Linked DNA regions of Mus musculus. The protein of the gene in region 1 purifies or fractionates together with the protein of each later gene. This does not show direct contact. Links are inferred from orthologs where the notes say so. Each region holds a gene or a part of one and is shown on either strand. Other genes may lie near its edges.

Region 1 (3,751 bases):
TTGAATAAAAACCGTTACCTGATTTGTATTTTCATCCCCTAAGGACATATATTTTATAAAGAGAAGTGTACAAACAAAACAACTGGATGGGCTGGGTCAAACTGACAGCCTGAAGCCATAAAAGGAAATTCCCTCCAGCCCAGGGATGCAGATCTGAGGGGCGGAACAGGGGGCGGTCTGTGGTCTAGGCCTGCAGCCTCCAGATACTTTAGTGCTGTGGTCACTTCCTGTGAGGGGACTGGAGGAGGGGCCTTGAGCTGATCCTGGCTTGGTCAACTAGAATCCCCCAACAGCTGAAGGAAGTATGTAGCTTTAAATAATTGTTCCTCTAGTTTGCCCTCATCTGTTAAACTCAGCAAAGGCTTTTCCCGGATATAAGTCTATCCCTTGCTATCACTCTTGTCTCCCAGATTTCACATGTTCTGACTGAACAACTTCCAGAAGTCTGTGGCCTCCAAGCAAGCCCAAGCTTGAGGACGGTCACCTCAGGGCCTGGATCTCTATCTCAAGAAAGCTTTCAGGGAGTTAACCACCTCCAGCACCCACGCCCTGTCCCCTCAAGCCACCATAGCTTTCTGGTTTCCCTAATGATATCCTTCACCTTTTGACAGCAAGGAGTCTTCCAAGATGCCACTCCTACTGGACAACAGCCTAAACTTCTATTTTCTTACCAACAAAACAGGACAGCTTAGTTTTTACCAGAGCACACAAGTTATGTGGGAAAAAATGAAACAAATAACCTTGAATCTAGCAGAGAAATAACATACAGCCTAATGAAAGCTAGTGAAACCTAGCCTAGGACCAAAGATGATCCTTCCCAACCTAAAAAAAAAAAAAAAAAAAAAATACACTCTTATAGTCAGATACAGTGGCAACAAATGGGAATCCCAGCACTCAGGAGATTGAGGCAGTAGGATGGAGAGCTGGAGGCCATTCTGAATTACATGACACCCTGTCTCCAAAAGCAAACCAAAAACTACGAACTAAACTCTCAACACTGCACTTGTTGCTTCTGTTATCAGCCAGTATTTCAGAAAGTGTTCATAGTATCTGTTTCCTCACCTCCCATTCACTTTTCTCCCTGAGAAGCCTGCCATCTCTAGCGTGTAGATTATGTCTGATTCAAAGACTCTAGCAGCAACCACAAGTGGTTCCTTATGTGAAGGAACCCACTGTAATGCACTTTCCTGTTACTGTTCTGCAATAGCATTCAAAAGATCAAATTCATCCTAAATGTAAGTGAAATGAGACTTTTTAAATGCTCATCCATGCTCTTTAACTTCTCAGTAGCCTACAATTAACCACTCTTCTTTTATTAAAACATCCATTCTCTAATCTTAATCCATTTCTTATTTCTTATTCTGATGGTTGTTCCCTGTCAGCCAGGCTTCTCAACCTCTGCCTTTATTTTCTACTCTTCTAAGGTACTACATTCCACATTATAGAGTCTTCAGATACCATTTAAATGCTATTTGTGGCATCTTGGTCTCCCAATCCGACCTCCTGAACTTTAAATCTGCATGACTAACAACCTGCCAAGCGTTTCCAAGTCACTGTAGTGTCACCAAAACTGTGGCCAGTCCATAATGGAACCTCAGCAACTGCCAAGTATCCAAGTACCCAAACCTCCTTTTAAACCCCAGGTCATCTTTGACAACCCCTTCACATCCCATACCAACTCAATTACTTCATCCTTATGATTTTAGGGCTCTCACCCCAACCCTGTCTCAATTCTTGTATCCAAAACATCACTTTAAGGCAATTGCGTCCAGGGTGACGCCTGACAAATGGGTACTCTCATCACTACATAAGCTTCAGAACTTTAGACCTCTAATATCCTTTCCCACTTCTACCCAACGCTCTAGGGCGCAGAAACTCATCCTCCAGCTACATGTAATTCCAGACAATTTTCTGGCACTCAGGTCTGCCTCTGACATGAGTTCATAGAGGCTGCAAAGTTCCCGGGAACCGGATTGTGAAACTTAGTTTAAAAAAAAAAAAAAAAAAAACAAACCCAACTCCGACAGCTTCCTCTGTGTAGACGTTCCTCCATCAACAGGCTTTGCTTACTACTACTACTCCTTACACTGGATAGCAAAGTCAGCCGCCCCCGCCAGACATGAGCACCCCGAGTAGCGGAGAGAGGACTTGTAGCCGTCTCACTCGCCAACGCTTCAGCTCACCCCTGATTGAGGTCGTTCTCTGTGTTGTCCAGCCACAAGCGCACCGCCACCGCGTTGCCCTCCCGGCACTGAGTGAAAATGTCGTCCATAGCAGCGTCCCGGCACAGAGACCCCGGGACTGGGGAAGCCTCGGGGGACTGAGGGAGAACAGAGACAAGAGAATGACTCTCTGTGTGAGTTCCCTCAGGACAGAGGTGTCAGTGCTGGGATGGGGAGCGTCGCGAGAGGGACAGTGGTTGTCTATGAAGGGCTTCGGGCAGCGGACGACCCCTTGGCTCGAGGAGCAGGAGGGTCTGGGGGTGTAGGGTAGACTTTGCTAGTTTCCCGAGTTGGTGTCAGCCGGCTCTGAGCCCCGGCCCTCGAGCAAGGCTTGGGGGTGGGGGAAGGGACCCAAGCTGCAAACACCCGGGGGAGGGGACAGGGGTCCTTGCCCGGCGGCCCCGGCTCAGAACTGCTGCAGAGATCGCAGAGACGGGTTTGCAAGACAGCGTGGGGTAGGGCGCGGAGCTACCCACACTCACCGGGACTCGGGCCGCAGGCGCCTTCTCCGGGGGAACTCCCGTCCGGCCGCGCCCGCCGCCCGGCCCCGCCCCGGCCCGCCCCGGCCAGCTCGGGCCAGCGCGGGCCGCGGTCCCTCCCTTCCGACCTCCTACTGCCTCTCTAGCTCGCCAGCGGCTACGCTCTATGGTGCTCTGCTCCGCGAAGGCCGCTCTAGCTACCACAGAATTTCACTCGGTGGCTTCCGGCCCGGTTTGGTCCGACTCCAGCCCTAGGATTCCCTGACGCGCGCTGCACGTGGGCCAGAGCGTAGGCTCCTCCGGCCCTGCGGGCTACGGGTGGTATGTTCGAAGAGCCCGAATGGGTGGAGGCGGCCCCAGCCATCGTGGGCCTAGGGGCCGCGACAGCACAGGTTAGGCCGGCGACTGCCCCGCCAGTCAAGGTGAGCGGCCCTGCACTGGGCTGTTTGAAGGAGGTGAAGCCTACCCTCCGGGGGTCGTATTGGTTAGAGGGAGAGCCTGAATGCTATCGTGGATCGGGGTGGTGAGGGAGTTAGTTATGATCTGAAGATCCGGATAGTCCAAATAGGAATGCGGGATTCGGAGCGTGGAGCGTGGAGCGCAGAGCTTGAAAAGTTTAAGTTTTTTGTACACTAAGGGTAGAAATCAGTAGAGTTGTTTTAGCAGTGGAGTGGCTTCTCCAAGTTTTCTCTCACCTGGCATCACTTTATATACTGAGGATCGATTCCAGGGCTTCAGCGTGGTAGATAAGCATTTATTACTGAGCTGAATCCGTAGTCTTGAAAGGATTTTTAGAGGATTTTTAGTGGCAGTGTAGAAAGTATATTAGAGTAAAGGCAAGTGACTGGGAGGTTATCAGAATTACTATTCAAAAGAGGCTCAAGGTAAGGGTCTAGCTGAGGACAAGCAGCAGGACTTGAACCCCAAATCAGCTTCACGGAAAGCAGGCCTTTTCCTTTGAACCTCATCAGATATGAGGGTTTCAGTATCCCCTTGGGGTGTTCCTGACCTTCAGTTAGCCCAGGATGTTCTGCTCATTTCTGTAGTCCA
Region 2 (3,651 bases), on another chromosome or scaffold:
GAGACAAACTCTTCCTATGTAGCTTTAGTTGTCTAGAACTGAGAAATCTGCCTGCCTCTGCTTCCTAAGTGCTGGATCAAAGGCTTGGGACATTATTATACCCAGTAGAAGTTCAAAAATTCTTCTGAAGGTTTCTAATTTTACTAGAAAAATTACTATGACACAAAACTGTACATGACAAGTGGGCTGTGATTCTTAAGAAGTGAGCACATTTTGCTAGGTGACCGCTTACATTATTCAGAAGCACAATTCTCACAAACGAGCAAACCAATCCTAGTAACAGCAACCCTGTGATCCAGCAAGACAGACATTACCGTCCTGATCAAAGCTAAGCAAAAACCAATTTACTCAAGGGCAGAGCCACTAAATGACTAGAGACTAGAGCAGCCTCTTACTTGCTTACAAAGGACTCTCTATACCTTCTGGCATAGCTTATTAGGGAAGTAAATGGGAATATGTCTATCTATTTAAAAATAAACAAAAAACACCCCAGAAATGGAAAAAGAAAAAGATGAGTTCAAATTTGAGACTTCTCTTGTCTATGCAGTGCCCACAAATACTATTTTTTAGTTAATTAGTTCAGCAGTGGTTTTTTCACCGTTTTGAGACAATTTCACACACCCCACAATAGCCTAGAATTTTACCTGGTAGCTGGCCATTGACTCCATCCTCCTGCCTCAAGCACTAAAACTAAAGGCATGTGACACAGCACCCAGTTTAAGTCATGCTGGAGATCAAACCTAAGGCTTGTAGGCAAGCAGTAACAAGCTATATCCCTCGCCTCAAACAGTTTTAAACAGCTTTTTAAAAAATGTGGTTTTCATTTTTTTTCCTTTTAAAAATAAGTGTTTTGCCTGTACTCAATCATATGAACCATGAGTATGCCTGTTGTCCCTGGAGTTCAGAAGAGTGTGTCATTCCCTGAAACTGGCATTACATGTTTGTGAGCCACCATGTGGATGCTAGGAGGCAAGCTTGGGTCCCTGAGCAACAAGTGACCTCAAAAACTAAGCCCGTTCGTCTTTTCACTTTCATCTCACTCTCTCCCAGACTGGCCCGACTTGTAACCTTTCAGCCTCAGCCTTCTGAGCACTAGGACTGCAGGCAAGAACAACTATGTTAGACCTTCATTTTCTTACAGCCTTGATCTAAAAAAACCCTACTGGCCATGTTTAAGAGAAAATAGTCCTGTATTTATAAATGAAAATATGATGCACCAAAATATGCACTTTAGATTTCCTGTGCTTTAGAGACTAAGTGTTTAAGAACTGCTGGGTAGAGGCAAAGATGGCTCAGTAGTTAAGCAGTGCTTGCTACTCTTGCAGAGGGCTTGGCTTGGGTTCAGTTCCTAGTTTCCTAACAGAGCAGCTCACAGCTGCTTAGAAACTCCAGTTCGGGGCATCCAACACCTCCTTCTGATCTCCAAGGATCCAGATCCTGTACACATGCAATGCACATACACATTATTTAAAAGTTGCTTGTAGGATCCCCAACTCAATTATAAATCCAGGGAGAAGAAAGTAAATAGAACAGACCTCAGGATAGACTTCTGTATGAGAAGGACATTACATCCTGTTTTCTTAATTTGCTTCACCAAATTTAAAATATAGGCTCTCTCCTCTCGAAGCACTCGATCCATCTGGGCATAGTCAGATACTACTATTTGATTATCCATCTGATGGGAACAAGAACACAGTAATTATTTTCAGCAAGAGATTTTAATGTTAAGTGAAAGACCAGCCCACACCTACCAGTTATATAGGTATGCACAGAAAAGGGTCTAAAATAAACCATTCTATTATGTTTTATTTCAGTTGTTTTTGTATTTTTTTTTAAAAGTCAGGGTTTCTTGGTATAGTCAAAGCTGTCCTGGAACTTAACTTGCTCCAAACACAAGGTTGGCCTTGAATTCAGGAGATCTACCTGCCTCTGCCTCTAAAGTGCCAGGCATTTGTCAGTACCGCCTGGCTAAAGCTTATTTTTCTTTTTTAATATAAGATTTATTTTATGTATGAGTACACTGCAGTTATCTTCACATACTAGGAGAGGGTATCCTATCCCATTACAGATGGTTGTGAGCCACTATGTGGTTGTTGGGAGTTTAACTCAGGACTTCTGAAAGAGCAGTCTAACCACTGAGTTATCTCTCCAGCCCCAGCTGATTCTTTTCAGTCACACCCATTACTGATATTTTGTATGTTTGAAAGACAAGACCTCACTATGTAGCTCACAGCTCAAGCTGGCCTTGAATTCACCATCCTTTGAGTACCAGAATATAGATACATATGACCACACGAGGCTCTACTGCTTCTGAAACTTTTTGCATGTGCATTTTTGGTAACTGAAAAATCCAAATTCCCCAAAATGAAGTTGTTCTACATACCATATGTATTACAGAAATAATTTTAATTCCATCCTTTTTACTCTGTGGCTTGTCATCATATATAATGCACAAAAATTAAAGATCAATTTTCATATGGCTATTTTTTTGAACAAAATACTGAACACACCTATATGTTGGCAGAATATAGTAAAAACAAATCTGAGGTACCAACACACTTTTTAGAGAATCATACTAATATGGTAATATCTTTCATAAAAAAAATTTTTATAGTTTGGCTATCAAGTTAGTCTAAGGCTCCACTTGCACAAACACAATCTTTGTGGGCTCCAGCAGGTAATATCTCAGGAAGCTAGACACAATCTGCAAACTCAAGGAATGAGTACAACACACACACACACACACACACACACACACACACACACACACCTTTCTATTTTATGCAAATGCCTATAATCAGTCTCCACCTTATTACTTGTAGTAGCAACAATTTCTGATTTTGTCTCAATTTTATTGTTTTGAATCTACATTTTAAAGACATCACTAATACCAGCATTTTCTATTTTCATCTTAAAAAAACAGATCTTACTAGAAAGTTAATAAGTAGGAAACCAGCTTGGATTTTACTTACATCTGTTTTAGGAGCAGATAAGCAAAACTGAATAAGCCCAATCTTAGCCTTTTCAACTCTTGTTATGCCAGAATTTGCTACTTTCTGTGTGAGAACGAGGCCTTCCACCAGCTCACAGTCATCTATTGTCCCACTAGGAAAAAATAATCAGAGCAGAGGAAATGCTTTGGTCTTACTCATTCTCAGAACCCATTCTGGGACCTCTTGGATATACTTCCATCCTACCATAAGGAAATACAGGCAAACCCTTGAGGATACCATATATAATAAAGTTTAAGTCAGCAAGTATTTCTAATGTTCACTTTCAGAGTTATTTTCACTTATGTTACATCCACTGGCCCAGGCAGAAAGGTAATCGGACTAAGAACATCTTTGTTTTTAAAGGGTTTTGTGGAGACAGAACCTCACTCTAGCTCAGCCTGTCATGGAACTCACTATTTATTCCAGGCTGGCCTTGAACTCATAGCTAGCCTCCCACCTCAGCCAATCAATTGCTGGCACTAAATGTATAAGCCACCCCTAGTTGTTCTTCAAAGTTATCTGGTTTTGGCAAAACTGAAATTGAAATCAGAGACGCTTACCCAAGCTTCTTAACTATTTTAATATCTCGAAGATCTACACTGGTAGCTGTGGCTGGGTCAATCACTTTCATCACCGCATTGACACTCATTGGAGAGAG

What was found.
Region 2: the proteins of Ilk (region 1) and Cct4 purify together in Homo sapiens (affinity purification with mass spectrometry; 4 studies listed by BioGRID and IntAct, with this or other methods). This does not show direct contact. The link is inferred for Mus musculus from reciprocal best matches to the Homo sapiens genes ILK and CCT4.

Annotation. Positions count from the first base shown.
Region 1 is NC_000073.6:105,735,670-105,739,420, reverse strand, and holds the start of Ilk (integrin-linked protein kinase), read right to left. Parts: upstream 2,832-3,751; 5' UTR 2,705-2,831; intron 2,697-2,704; exon of another isoform or gene 2,615-2,696; intron 2,357-2,614; coding exon of another isoform or gene 2,273-2,356; coding exon 2,184-2,272; coding exon of another isoform or gene 2,120-2,183; exon of another isoform or gene 2,036-2,119; intron 1-2,035. Other genes in the region: Rrp8 (ribosomal RNA-processing protein 8), read left to right, coding at 2,120-2,356. UniProt on the Homo sapiens protein: Scaffold protein which mediates protein-protein interactions during a range of cellular events including focal adhesion assembly, cell adhesion and cell migration.
Region 2 is NC_000077.6:22,997,057-23,000,707, reverse strand, and holds part of Cct4 (T-complex protein 1 subunit delta), read right to left. Parts: coding exon 3,554-3,651; intron 3,106-3,553; coding exon 2,973-3,105; intron 1,676-2,972; coding exon 1,536-1,675; intron 1-1,535. UniProt on the Homo sapiens protein: Component of the chaperonin-containing T-complex (TRiC), a molecular chaperone complex that assists the folding of actin, tubulin and other proteins upon ATP hydrolysis.